Saccharomyces cerevisiae S288C: one gene and its partners. Changing the gene in region 1 together with any one later gene gives a genetic interaction. Each region holds a gene or a part of one and is shown on either strand. Other genes may lie near its edges. The genes, in order: YKE2, BFA1, CHL4 and AHC1.

What was found.
Region 2: mutations in YKE2 (region 1) and BFA1 together harm fitness more than expected from each alone (negative genetic interaction), as found in Saccharomyces cerevisiae (5 studies listed by BioGRID, with this or other methods).
Region 3: mutations in YKE2 (region 1) and CHL4 together harm fitness more than expected from each alone (negative genetic interaction), as found in Saccharomyces cerevisiae (7 studies listed by BioGRID, with this or other methods).
Region 4: mutations in YKE2 (region 1) and AHC1 together harm fitness more than expected from each alone (negative genetic interaction), as found in Saccharomyces cerevisiae (5 studies listed by BioGRID, with this or other methods).

What each region holds. Positions count from the first base shown.
Region 1 is NC_001144.5:546,985-549,856, reverse strand, and holds YKE2 (tubulin-binding prefolding complex subunit YKE2), read right to left. Parts: upstream 846-2,872; coding exon 501-845; downstream 1-500. Other genes in the region: ubiquinone biosynthesis protein COQ9, read left to right, coding at 1-346; PBA1 (Pba1p), read left to right, coding at 1,088-1,093, 1,180-2,004; snoRNP complex protein NOP56, read right to left, coding at 2,246-2,872. UniProt on the Saccharomyces cerevisiae protein: Binds specifically to cytosolic chaperonin (c-CPN) and transfers target proteins to it. Binds to nascent polypeptide chain and promotes folding in an environment in which there are many competing pathways for nonnative proteins.
Region 2 is NC_001142.9:532,272-536,268, reverse strand, and holds BFA1 (Bfa1p), read right to left. Parts: upstream 2,243-3,997; coding exon 518-2,242; downstream 1-517. Other genes in the region: KCH1 (Kch1p), read right to left, coding at 1-213; UV-damaged DNA-binding protein RAD7, read right to left, coding at 2,510-3,997. UniProt on the Saccharomyces cerevisiae protein: Part of a checkpoint which monitors spindle integrity and prevents premature exit from mitosis. This cell-cycle arrest depends upon inhibition of the G-protein TEM1 by the BFA1/BUB2 complex.
Region 3 is NC_001136.10:963,378-967,055, reverse strand, and holds CHL4 (Chl4p), read right to left. Parts: upstream 1,944-3,678; coding exon 567-1,943; downstream 1-566. Other genes in the region: ubiquitin-protein ligase RMD5, read left to right, coding at 1-499; MET32 (Met32p), read left to right, coding at 2,491-3,066; CCR4-NOT core subunit BTT1, read right to left, coding at 3,195-3,644. UniProt on the Saccharomyces cerevisiae protein: Component of the kinetochore, a multiprotein complex that assembles on centromeric DNA and attaches chromosomes to spindle microtubules, mediating chromosome segregation and sister chromatid segregation during meiosis and mitosis.
Region 4 is NC_001147.6:375,459-379,378, forward strand, and holds AHC1 (Ahc1p), read right to left. Parts: upstream 2,255-3,920; coding exon 554-2,254; downstream 1-553. Other genes in the region: DDL1 (putative carboxylic ester hydrolase), read right to left, coding at 1-399; NAD-dependent histone deacetylase HST3, read left to right, coding at 2,761-3,920.

The DNA of each region.
Region 1 (2,872 bases):
GGAACTAATGTCACAATTGGCTATTCCAAGCGCCTTTCTCTTTGAAACTGCAATTCCTGAACTACACAGATTGTCCGATGATATGATTTACTTTTCCAACGAAAAGGACCACCATGATTCTGCATGGTATGCTAAGAGATTGGCTGTTTCGAGCACCTACATTGGTTCAAAGTTATTTATGGCTCAGGATAAATCCCACAATTACAAAGAAACGTTTACTTTTGCAAAGGATAAATTACATAGGGTCATGCGTTTGGGTGAGTACTATAACAATACTGAAGAGTTTGCCTGGTATACGTTAATGTCTACGGTAAATTTAATCAAATCTCAATTAGTTAGGGGTTAAGCAATCTTACATGTCAATTTGAAGTTTAGGACAGTGAAATGCGTAGGTATTTTGTTTGTAAGTTACATAATTGTATATAAAAGAAAATTTTATTTTGGGCAGATTTATTGGTACTGTGCGCTTTCTTGTCTTTCCGAGGACCTGTGAGTTTGTTTTACCTTCCTGGGCCAGTGGAAGCTGCTGTATTGTTCAGTTTAATTAGCTCGCTTCTCATCTTTTCTAGTTCTTCCTGCTTGTCCCTTATGTTCTTTTCGCATCTTGTAATTTCTGTTTCGATGAACTCTAATCTTTTGTCCACGTTGGTACGTGCCTCACTTTGTTCAACTGGTAAAAGGACATTGCCTGTCAATTTGTACACAGGTGTATCTTCTTCTAATTGGTCAAACTCTTCATTTACAATCTTGTTTTCTTGTAATTGTGTCTCTAATTTTTGTCTGGCCACAATAAACTCTTCTAACTCATTTTGCAACTGTTGATATTTGGCACCTAATTCAGACATTTTTGCTTTTGTTCCTCCACTCAAATGTAGTCTTTTTCAATTCTGAAGTGGGATTATTTATAGATGACGTTTGACTTGATGAAGTTTTATTGCCTTTACTTTTTTTTTTCTTTCGCATCAAAATTTCAGACTTCATTGAAATCAATTTAAGAAGTTGCGTGGCAATAGGTGGCAACAGGCGAAATAATAAGAAACAGCGACCAAGATATCATCGCACTACAGTAAAATTTTCATTTATAGCGATGCTTGTATGTTACAATAATCTTTTTTCCCCATCATATTTTGCTAGAGTAGAGTGGTTTGACTAACTTATGTTACTTGATTCTTTTTGAAGTTTAAACAATGGAATGACTTACCAGAACCAAAACATCTGCTAGATCTCCCAGAGATTTCAAAAAACCTGCAATCTTTAGAAGTCTGCCCGGTTCCAAAAGTTGAGTTTCCTCAGGACTTGGATGTTCCTCAATATTCGACAGCCGTCATTACTACTAAGATAATGAACCCATTATTCCCCAAAAATCTGCTTCAATTAACCTCTATTGGTGAAATTAAAACTACATTGACGGTGAAAAGTCCAAGTCTTCCCCAATCTTCAGGTAAACACTCGTGGAATTACGACGAAAACTTTCCAAACGAGGTTGATCCTGATCAAAAAAATGACACCGCCGATGAAACAGTATATGGTTTTTCTTTCCCGATTTATTCATTTGGAAAGACGTTATTATTTTCTATGGAGGAGAATTTCATTAGTATATCGCCGATTTTTGGTAACATGATAAGTAGATCTATCATATCACAGTTAGCCCAGTTCTCCCCTGATATAATAGTAATTGGCACCTCTGATAAAATCGCCAGCATGAAGGTAATGACGGAAAATGAATGTACACTACAACCACCAGAATTTATAACGGGATTCATAGGAAGTGTGCTAACACAATTGATTGTCGGTCCCAGTAAGGGACTGAAATTTAAATGTCTTGTAGCGCCTAGTGAGGGGCCTAATGGATTTGAGAAACTTTCGTTGTCTGACATGGGTTCTTTAGTTGATTTGTGCGGTCAATGGCTTGGTTTTGAGCCTTCAAGATATTCTGAAGAATGCTATCGCTTATGGAGGTGTGATAGCGCGGCAATTGGTGCACAATCAGGCCTATATATATGAATGGCGATCACAGAATGTCAGTAATGGCGAGTGAAAGAGGCATAAGAGGGTACTTAAGCTCAAAATAACATATGACTTTTTTATTTAATAATATTTCTAAATATACAATATACAGCTTCCAAATCCTAAAGAAGAATATTAGAAGGGAATAAAAGATAATATATATATATATGAAAAACTTTAAAGGGAAGAAAAGTACACAAAAAGATGGGATATACTTTATTTCGATTCATTGTTCCTTTTAATCCTTACTTTTCTTCTTTTTATCCTTCTTTTCCTTTTTATCTTTCTTTTCCTTTTTGTCCTTCTTTTCCTTCTTTTCTTTCTTTTCCTTCTTCGATTTTTTCTCTTTCTTTTCCTTCTTTTCTTCATCATCATCTTCTAATTTTCTCTTCTTTGAGGATTCCTTTTCCTTGGTTTCTTCCACTTCTGCAGCTGGTTTATCTTTGTTATAAAGTTCCATGGCTTCTTGAATGGCTAATTCATTCTTCAAAGTTGGCTTACCAGTGTTGTAGAATTCTAATCTTTGCTCAACTTGTTTCTTTAGTACGGAACCAAAAACATTAGATGGTTCCTCAGAGTAATTGTCAATTCTAGAGGCCATAGAACATTTGTTAGCCAAGTATCTAGAAATACGACCCTTGTTCTTGGCAGAGGCCTTAGAAATAAAACCACTGTGGTAAATCAAACCGTATTTTGGAGTGTTACCTTTAGTTTTTAAAGCTCTGAACAAAGCCTTTTCAGCACCAAGAATTTGAACCGTTGAAGCTGCTTGCTTAGATAAATTAGTTAGGGAACCTGCGTGAGAAATTAATCTAGCACCAATCACTTCACCAATCAATTCTGATAAGTTTGGTGCAACAGTGTG
Region 2 (3,997 bases), on another chromosome or scaffold:
TTTGATGATGTTGTTTGACCAGGAGTTGAATGCCAGCAATTTGATACATGTGTAAATGTCAGAAACAAAAAGGGCGAGTTTTAATCCATTCCACCCAACTACACCTATTATGTAATTTAAAACAGTTTTGAACTTGTGGTTTCGAAATAATTCAATGTTTAAATCGGCGAAAGTCTTAGAATTAATGGAGTACTTCCAATCATGGTTAAACATTTTTGATTTTCTGTTCCTGCTAGTCAAATATTCATGAAATTACCAAAGTGTTTGCTAAACAAACCATAAAGATCTGTTTTAATAATCATCAAGGGCTCTTTTGTTTGAAATGTTAATGTGTCCCTCATGGTCTATTTTCATTTGAAACATCTATTCGAATTTTCTGCAACATTTCTTTTTCTGTCAGACGCGAAATGTCGGCGAAAAGTTGACACGATTCAAGGTTCTATCTAATTTTGGAATGTAAGAGAAATGAATGTACTCAAGATAACGGTAAAGAAACAGTTATAAGAAGGCTAAAGGGCTAATCTTTTGTCGAATTGATTACCATGTTCCTGATTTCATACATATAGGATTTTCTCTTGCTATTGACCGTACTTTCATCCATGATTGTTTCCTCATCAACACTGATAATGGTCTCATCTCGGGGTATAAACCATGAGGCTAACTTTTTACACCACCTGTTCTCCTCGTGGTAAAATTTTTCCAATGCTCTTGAACTCAAATGGAAAGTAGAGCTTATTTCTGGAGTTTCTGTTGTACCGTTAAGTGTCCTCATTGAATGGTATTTACGGAGTCTTGCTTGAGCAGCCGTACTTTGATAAACGCCATCATTGTCATTTGAAACAAATGGCGTATTAACTTGGCTTTTGGAACGCAAAAATGGTGAGGAGCTACGTTTTTTCATACTTTTGCCAACTGGTGGTAAGTTTATCTCAGGAATGCCTGCAAAAGGGTCTGCTTCTTCCTCTGAAACACTAACCCATCTTAAATTTTGTTCATCTAAAATCATGTTCCCGATGACCTTTTGATTTCTCGAAGTGGCTCTTGCATGCTGTAGATCAGAATATTTTTGCTTCTTAGAATCTGCATCTCGTTGTAGCTTGTTTTTTATCAATAAAGCTTTCCTGTTTGCCGTGTCTACATCACTAAATTTGCTTAAGACGTTTTCATTTCCTTCCCACTTCATAGTTTTCGGGTTATATATCATAGAACCTTTCTTCATTGGAGTATTATGATCAATTTGCTGTTTTATTGTTTTGATTTTAGCTGGACCATTGAGTTGTACATTTTGATTAGAACAGTGTCTTACTGATCGTTTTTCTTTAAAAGAGTCCAGTTCCTGCTGGGTATTCCAATCTCGTTGTCGCCTATGAAGACCTGGAGTTAATAATTCGTCATGCTTTACTATATCATATTGTGCAGGTGATATTTTTAATGGCAAAGATGAGGATGACTTCTTTAAGAAACGCGGATGGTCGGCACTTTCTTTATCGTTCGAAGAAATCGTTTCATCAATTGCTTCACCCTCTAATTCTTCAAATCCTGTCAGAAAGTCACCTTCATCATCTGAACTGAATTTCGCCAAAATTGTGTCCTGCGTATCGTTATCAATCTTGTAATTAAACTCTCGTTGATCTTCTCTTTCTCGTTCTTCGTCCTCTTCTTCTTCTCTGATAGCTGGATTAACTAAAGCTAAGTTAGGCATAGATTTCTTAAATCTTACAGAATTACCAGACCTTAAGTTTCTTGAAGTGACGCTATTTGATAGTTTTCTTTTTGGTTTCAATTCCATCATTGATCTAGGTTGCTTTAGCCTTGGTTTATCTTCCAAACTCAGTTTTCTATCAAACTCTTCTGCGAAAATGTCGTTTTTGAAAGGGCCAGTTCGACATCCATTTCTCAAATGAAAATTTGTTTTAATAGCATCGTCAAAATCATCCTTTTTATTTTGGAATTCCTGGAAGTCATTTAGAAATTCATCATCCTGGTCTACCTCCATGTCCTGATCATCGTCTGCTTGCTTATTAGACCAAAACGCGCTGGTACTATTGGAAAATACCGTGCCAGTGTCAGAAGTACCTACCGAGGATGGAGGCGGTATATAAGTTGATGTACTCAATGGTGGCACGTTTTCTTCCAAAGTTAATGTTTCATGGGATTGAAAGCGAGGTAGAGTTGTATTCAGTTCTTCAAAAGAGGTTTCTGGCTCATCTAAACCGTTTAACGTGAGAGGCCTAATTGACATAGCATACAAAACTTTCAACTGCTACAAAAGTTTTCGAACTTTTTTCTTTACGTCAAACTTCTCGTTTTTTTCCTTTTATCTGCGCTGAATACATAAGTTTACACTTTTTTTTTTACTATTATTGTTTGTTTATTATTCGCGAGATGCCATAAAATCCCTTCAATAGAAAATAAAGGCAACATTTGACGATCTGAGTATAATAGGAATAAAAACATTAGTCAATTTTCCGTTTTCTATCTAATACACGTTTTATATGTCTTTATTTTATTATATACTGTCACTCTGTCTCCCTATCAACGTAAGTCCAGGCCTCATTGTGGCCTTTTCAGTAACCAAATTGTCTCCGAAAACATCAATTACAGTTAAATTCGGATTTTGCTCACCCAACATTTGAATCACCGAGTCATCAACACAACGTACAAAACCAAGATCAAGATACGTCAGATTAGGACAGGCTAACGCCACAAATGCCTCCTTAGTTAGCTCTTTTAATGAATTGAGATTTAAGCTTCTCAGACTATCTCTTGCTCCGTTAAGCAATAGCTCTATAATTGCCATATCGCCCAATTGTAGACATCTTCTAAAGCTGCATTCAATCAAATTATTCAGTTCTACTTTGCTGAAAAAGTACGACAGTGAATCTGTAGTGATCTGATCTGATTCTTCCAAGCTCAATACCTCCAATGGACATTTCTCAGGAATGAATGCAGTCAGACCATTGATTATCATTGAATCTGTCAAGTCAATACAGCCATTCAAAACCAATTTACGTAACGTGCGCCCGATTTGACCTAGCAGATTTATGATGATCTCATCGTTAACATCCTCTTCATTGAATGGATATTCAATACAGAGACTGTGAAATTCGTCGTTGACTAGGTACTGCGGTAATAAAGCGTAATTTGATATAGAATCTAGTCTGGATAACCCTAAGGATACCAAGGTAGAACCGCAGTTGATCAATAAATTAGATAATGATTTGTCGGTGAAGCGGTGCGTATTAGAAATGTGGAACTCTTCTAATCTACCTTTCATTATTACAAAGAACTTCTCCCATGTGTCCTCGTTGATCAGAAATGGTCCATCTAAATTCAGTGATTTCAAGTTCGGAAGCTTTTCAGCAATGTAAAGCAATGATTCATGGTTCAACTGCCCACACATTTGTAGGGATAATTCGGTTAGGTGTGGCGAAAAAATGGCTAGCGTTTTGTAACCATCAAATGAAATTTTAGAACAATCGCTGAAAGTTAACCTTTTTAGATCTGTCTTCAAGAAAAGTTGCAGAGTATGATCATTCAGGGCCCTATTCTTCGATAGTGCTTTTGCCAAATTATTCAAATTAGCGGTTGATACGCCACCAAGGACATCTCTCAATTTGTTAAATACCAACTTTGATGATTCATCAGCCTCTTTTTGCCACTTGGATATATTTTCACTAATTTTCGTAATACAAAGACTTTGTAAGCTGGATACTTTGTTGACGCGTCTATCCAATAGGTCAGCTGCTCTTTTACGCTTTCTGCGACGATTTTGGATAATTTTTGCAGTATTTTGCCTTTTTTTAGTCAATGATTCCCGGTCATTAGCCGAACTTAAACTGACTGGCGTGTCAGAAATGTGGCTAGTTTCATATTCTTCTTCATCACTATCAGCAGGGACTAATTTCATCCTGGCATCGTAGGAAACCTGAGCTCTTTCTGTCTCGGTACCACTACCTGTTCCAATTTCATCAATTTCTTCATCTTCAACTACTCG
Region 3 (3,678 bases), on another chromosome or scaffold:
ATTAATGCAAAACGTCGTACCATTATTAACTAAATCGCTAATAGGTCAACCTATTGAAGATATTGATTCTAAAGTAAATAAGGAATTAAAAGAATGCACGTCGTTATTTATAAAAGAATATTGTGCTGCAAAACATATTTTCTTTGACTCTCCCTTGTTTTTGATAGTATTGAGTGGTTTAATTTCTTTCCAATTTTTCATCAAATACAAAACCATCAGGGAGTTAGCGCACGTTGACTGGACTACGAAAGATGAGTTGCCATTTGATGTCAAGTTACCAGATTTTCTGACTCATTTCCATCCGATCTTCATCTGTCCCGTCTTAAAGGAGGAAACCACTACAGAAAATCCTCCTTATTCACTGGCATGCCATCACATCATTTCTAAAAAGGCGCTAGACAGATTATCGAAGAACGGAACAATTACTTTCAAGTGCCCATACTGCCCCGTAAATACTTCAATGAGCAGTACAAAAAAGGTTCGTTTTGTTATGCTTTGACTGAAATTTTTGCATAGGTTTTTTTTTTTTTTTTTTATTGGAAGCGATAACAGAACACAGTAGTTTTCTACAGTAAACCACCTTTAGCAACCTGCTCTCGCTGAAAATCTCCATTCATTATCGTTCCTGAGAACGATCCATTTTCTCCAGCCAACCACCCAGGAACTTTATCAATATTTATTAAATTTTTATCGCATAGTTCGTGTAATCCCCCAAAAATATCATTACCATTAAATTTCAATTTTATGGTAATTATTCTACTGTTTATTTCGTTTTTTAAAGTGAATCCAACTTTTTCAATAGGAACTAAGGAACTGTATCTAGAAATGTACACTGGCTCACCAGAATCTTCATTTTTCTTTCCATTCCTAATATTGTGGACATGTTCGTTAAATTCTTTCAAATCATTATATTTCTGATCCATTACGCCGTTTGCTGAACCTTTGAATTTGATCATGTTTTTCTCTAACCTTAGTCGTCTAATTTCAGGTTCTTCTTTTCCGTAAAAATTCTCATCGTCATTTAAGAAAGAATCATCAAATTCTCTAACCATTACCTTTTTACCAGTAAGGCCTTGGTGCTTTTTGTAGTCGTGTAGTGGTGACCGTTCAAAGTTAGCACTAGCATAACATTCCCATGGGCCCATAGACTCCGCAAATCTCGAAGGTCCTAATAAAGTCATTATATTATGTATTGATTTCACGGGTATTTTCTGTACCGGTTTGAAGATGATTGTTTCTCTTTCTGATATCGTTCGACTAATGCTCTGCAAAACTAGTCTAGCATAAATATCCTTGTCAACTGAATGGAAAATTATTGGAGAATTTAGCGGGAATGCAACGTAATATGGTCTCCTTGATATTAATGGTTTCCCTTGGAATTTGTCTAACTTGTTGTAAAGAGACTCTTTATTTATACTCCCTATATTAGGCGTACTCAAAAATAAATTATTGCTGTCAAATAGCTGTATTCTGGTAATTAACACTGGCAAAGAGGGATGTTTAAACATGTAAACATGACAATGGTAAATTTTCGCTAGATCTGTTTGTAAATTTTCTATAAATTTGGCAGGTTGGAGCTTTACTACGTAAGGTTTCCCATCTCCCCGTAAAGCTTTTGATGGAAGCCACTTAAATTTCTCTGGTTTACTTATCATTAAATGGCAATCTATTTCTGCTAATTGGAAAACATTCAGGCCATCCGGCCAGTATACGTATAATATCCTATTTACTATAACATTTCGCCTCACGCCTTTCTCAATCAGTAAGTCTAATGTTTCTGTCAATAAATATATGTCACCATCAAATGACCCACCGAATTTTGCGAACCATGATAGCGTAAGATCATATAATACCGTTACCGGCAGCTTCATCAATTGTTTGAAAACTACTAGTGTGTCGGAAGTTGGTACATAGTTATCTTCAAGCCGTAATTCGTTAGACATTAATTGCTACTCAAATATACTAGTCAAAGATAGTATCCACCAAAATCTTTCCCCGCTAAAATAACGCCAGATGCTTTCTATGCTTCTAATCTTTTACCATTTACCTTTGTTTATTTCAATATAAACTTTAATTTACAGTCCCTATCTATTGCCCGACTGGACTAACATGCACGTGACATTTTGTGATGGTTTTTCGTCCCTTACTTAGTACGCTTAGTACGCCACAGTTTATATTTTCTTGACAATAATAAAGAACCTGATTGTGGGTTAGAACTTGCTATACTTTTAGTTTAAAATAAGCAGGAAATAATCTTGAGTTCTGTATCATTATTATAAATAAAACTATATTTGTTCTCTTTGTCGCCCTCGGAACTTTCCTCATTACATTGACGAGGTATATATAGATATAGTAGATATACATATCTATCCATGGTATATATGTATGCATCTGGATAATTGAATAGGGTTTCATGTCATATGCCAAGAATTTGTTAATAATATAGTGGAAAAAAGTCAAGAGGTATTATAAATTTCAAAAAAGTACCAAATGGAGGATCAGGATGCTGCATTTATCAAACAGGCTACAGAAGCAATAGTGGATGTATCATTAAATATAGATAACATAGATCCTATAATAAAAGAGTTATTAGAAAGGGTAAGGAATAGGCAAAACAGGTTACAAAATAAAAAACCAGCACTCATACCGGCAGAAAATGGTGTTGATATAAATAGTCAAGGCGGTAACATAAAGGTTAAAAAGGAAAACGCATTACCAAAACCACCGAAGTCCAGCAAAAGCAAACCCCAAGATCGTAGAAATAGTACTGGTGAAAAAAGATTTAAATGTGCGAAATGTTCGTTGGAATTTTCAAGATCATCAGATTTGAGAAGGCACGAAAAGACACACTTCGCCATATTGCCTAACATTTGTCCTCAATGTGGCAAAGGTTTTGCAAGGAAAGATGCATTGAAAAGACATTATGATACACTGACATGTAGGAGAAACAGGACTAAATTACTAACTGCGGGTGGTGAGGGTATCAATGAATTACTGAAAAAAGTCAAGCAATCCAACATCGTTCATCGTCAAGATAACAACCACAATGGTAGCAGTAATGGCTGAAAGAGTAAATAGCGTGTATCTTCTCAAATAAGAAAATATATATTCATCTGCAACATTAATGTGATAGCATTTCCACTTCGACATTCGCCACTAGCTATAACGTTTACTGGCAATTATTATGAACTATGTCAGCTATTCATCACTTGTTGTTTTGTCTCGCTGCATCTGTCGCCCAGCTGGTCGAGCACCGTCTGTTCATTTTCTAGGTTATGAGCCAAACCTGTCAAATACTCAAGTTCTTGGCTACCTAATTGAGAGGCTACGCTCGGATACAGCCCATTAAGTGTATTCTCTTTCGGTTGGCCATGAATCATTGTGAGATTGCATTGAGGGGCAATCTGTACAACTGCACTGTTAAAATGTAAAACCTTGCCATTCTTTTTGAAAAAATTTGCTTCGGCAACGTTTTCAATGGTCATTGGATGCAGTTTATGAAGTTCAGCTTGTAACTTGGTATTATCCTTGTCATTGTTATTATATAAATTACCTTTCTTGTTTATTTTCCTTCTGGTACCACCAACTTTGTTTGCTGCTGATAACTTGTGCAGCTTAGCTAATTTTTCTTGATCTACAGGCATTTGATGTTGTAGGATTATGTAGTAGTTTATTTAA
Region 4 (3,920 bases), on another chromosome or scaffold:
CTGCTTATACAACCCTTCAATTTCGGAGGTAAGATCACTGGACAAAGGTTGATTTGAAGAGTCGAACCACACACCTCTTCGTACTTGATAAGTAGGGCCTTCCCAATAGGTAGGGGACAATTCCATGTGAGAGAGGTCGACTTTAAACAGGTAATCTTCGTTGACTAAAACAGGCCTGCGTTCTTGACGCTTACTGGCCTTTTCCAAACGATTAGAATCATCAACGGAGAACGGCTTAAACTTTTTGGGTGAGTGTAAAGTTTGATATGTGGGTAAATAGGGTTTGGAGTTGGGTACGTCTATGGCATAGAACCATGGTACATAAATGTGATTTAACCTTACGAAAATGTTTCTAAAACGAGTGCTGGAGGGAAGGCCTCGATGAGTAAACCGTAGCATTTCAAGTAATTGTTCACTGTGAGTATATTCAGTGATCTTCAATATTAGGGAATATGCAAAAAAATACAATCCACTTTTTCTTCCAAAGCGACAAATTAGGTCAGAAAACCAACAGAATATTATATTACGTAATTTACTTATTTATATGTGTGTACTATGTATGAGAACCACGCAGTCTTGATTTCGACCTTAGATTGTAATAAGATGATGATTTTGCTGCAGGATCAGGACCCTCAAGTTCATTAGTCAAAAGGGCCGCTTTTCTTGGTTTCTTGTCAGTGGGATTTGCTCTCAACCTTTCTCTTAAAGGTAAATCTTCCATGGGAGTAGAGCTATTCAAGCTCAGTTTTCTCTTACGCAGCAATTTTCTTTGTAAGGAGGAGGATAGCACTGGCGGAGAGGGTGGGTCCGTAGTCGTTGTTGTTGTAGCCGTTGCTGAGAGAGACGGTGATGGGACGTAAGAAGCTTCGTCATCAGATTTGGAAGATTCCTCTTCTTGCTCCTTTTGATATCTTAATTGAATTTCACGTTGCTTCAAATATTCATTCAAATCATCCGGAGTTTCATTAACCATGTCAATCAGTTTTTTGAAGTCTTCTTTATTTTGGTATAGTTTTTCTAAATGAGGAGTGTTCTTGACAGTCTTTGGAGCCCGCGTATGGTTCTCGGAGTGGTTGATTGGTGATTGTGGTTTTGGGATTGCAATGTCAGAGGGTAGGTAGTCTTTGTTTGGGTCCAAATTTAGTTTCTTGAACTTAGATAAAATTTCCGGATCCTGCTTATCATTAGGAAGTAGTTTTTGGTTGTTTAAAACTGCCAATGGTTGGCTTGAATATAGTTTAGAATGTTTTAGTCGAGTATGGTTCACGATACCTTGCGCGGAAGTGAAACCGGAACGGTCACATTTGGAGCACGTAATTATAACCAAAATGCCGTCATATCTTCTAAAAATGGGCTCATTATTTTCAGTCTTACCGATGATACCGCTATTGCTCGTCAAACAAGTGCTACTGTAATTACGTCTGTGGTTAAGATGCATCTGACTTGGTTTAAAAGGGAGTATCTGGAACCCCGGCTGCTCGTCTAAGGGGGAGATTGAGGAGGAACGAGGTGAAGAAATGCCATCCGAATTAGAGTGAGGAAGCGAGACGGGAGTGGGCTTGGTTATGGCTTCTGATAGAGATTTAGAACCTGTTAGCCTGTAATCAATTATATTCGAATTTGCCGGACGGAGGGCAGAAGGTTCTAGCAAAAGCCCGTTACTCTTGCTTCTAGTATGATAATGGTGGTGTGGTATGCGTGTTGTTGACAGATTTCTGTTGCTGCTCGAAGACAAAGGCTGACAGTTGATGTTATAATCCGATAGAACCGGGTATGACAGGTTATAATTTGATGCGTTCGTATTTTCCGTAGCCGTACTGTCGTGAAAGTGGCCGCCGAGCACGCTATGCTGCTGATGTTGTTTTATTTTGAGTTGATACGTCCGTTCGATTTTGTTCAATAGACCAGTATCCTTATGCAGGGTTTCCAAGAGAGCTAGTTTTGCGTTAACCTTTTGAACATTTCTTCGTAAGTGCCTAACATGCTTGTGGTTTAGCATTATATGTAGGTTCAAAACATTCTGTATTTCCCCTTTGGCACATTCGTACTTCAACCGCTGGGTATTTTCGCTATCCTTGTCCGGATTACTGGTGGCGGTGTCCATTTTGAAGGGCTCATCCATGTTGTTTTCCAAATCCTGAGGAGACTTTGGCGTGGTAACCTGATAAACGTTCGTCATCTTAGAGGATGACGATGAGGAAGAATTAGGATTATGATGCTGGTGCTGCAGTTTATCTTGGGCGGGACTCATCATGAGGAGATGGACATATACACAAAGTGTTGGATGAGAAGCGTGAGCCCGAAGAGTAGTGAAATGCCGAAGATCAGGGTGTTTATATGAACGAACACTAGCTTACAAATGTGGAAACGGGATCCTTCAGAGGTAAAATGCGCCTTCAGTGGCCAAAGTTCATCACCTTCCTTAGCACGGGTTCTTGCTGTCTGCTCTTCCTGCTTCTTCCCTGTTCGTTTTTCCCTCTTCCTACGGCTATGCACAGTGGCAAATGCACTGCATGTGTTTCTGTGGCGGGTATCCCTCAATTGCGGGTAACAATAAGTAACTCAACATCACGAACGACGTTTATGTTTGCTGTTACCACAAAGGGTAAAACGTCAATAAAAGCAAGCAATGTTATTCGTGCCAGAGAACTATATCTGGCGTACGTCTTATATATAACACAAGCAAGGGCAAATACGTGGTTAGTGGTGTAAAAACTGAAGGGATTAATTTACATACAACTAGATCCATCTTTCTCAAAAATGACTTCAGTATCGCCCTCGCCACCTGCCAGTCGATCGGGCTCAATGTGCTCCGACTTACCGTCCTCTTTGCAGACTGAGAAACTGGCACATATTATAGGTCTTGATGCCGACGATGAAGTTCTCCGGCGCGTAACCAAGCAGTTGAGCAGATCTAGGAGAATTGCTTGTCTGACTGGGGCAGGCATTTCGTGCAACGCGGGCATTCCTGACTTTCGCTCTTCTGATGGGCTCTACGACCTAGTGAAAAAGGATTGTTCACAGTATTGGTCTATCAAGTCCGGCAGGGAAATGTTTGATATTTCGCTATTTAGAGATGACTTCAAAATATCCATTTTTGCTAAATTTATGGAGAGGCTCTATTCAAATGTTCAATTGGCAAAGCCGACTAAGACGCACAAGTTCATTGCGCATCTAAAAGATAGGAACAAACTGCTGCGCTGTTACACGCAAAACATCGATGGGCTCGAAGAAAGCATAGGACTTACTTTATCAAATAGGAAATTACCGCTTACCTCATTTAGTTCACATTGGAAAAATCTGGATGTCGTTCAGTTGCACGGCGACCTGAAAACTCTTTCGTGTACAAAGTGCTTCCAGACTTTTCCCTGGAGCAGGTACTGGTCTCGTTGTCTAAGAAGAGGTGAGTTACCATTGTGTCCGGATTGCGAAGCACTTATCAACAAGAGATTGAATGAAGGAAAGCGAACTCTTGGTTCTAATGTGGGTATTCTAAGACCTAATATCGTCCTGTATGGTGAAAACCATCCATCCTGTGAAATTATTACGCAAGGCCTAAATCTTGACATAATTAAAGGCAATCCTGATTTTTTGATCATCATGGGTACAAGTTTGAAAGTTGATGGTGTGAAACAACTGGTAAAAAAATTAAGTAAGAAAATTCACGATCGTGGCGGCCTGATCATTCTCGTAAACAAGACACCCATTGGCGAATCCTCTTGGCACGGCATTATAGACTACCAAATCCACTCAGATTGTGATAATTGGGTCACATTTCTTGAATCCCAAATACCAGATTTCTTCAAGACGCAAGATCAAATTAAGAAGTTAAGACAGTTAAAAAGGGAGGCGAGCGACTTGAGAAAGCAAATGAAGGCCCAAAAAGACTCAATCGGAACCCCCCCAACAACCCCTCTACG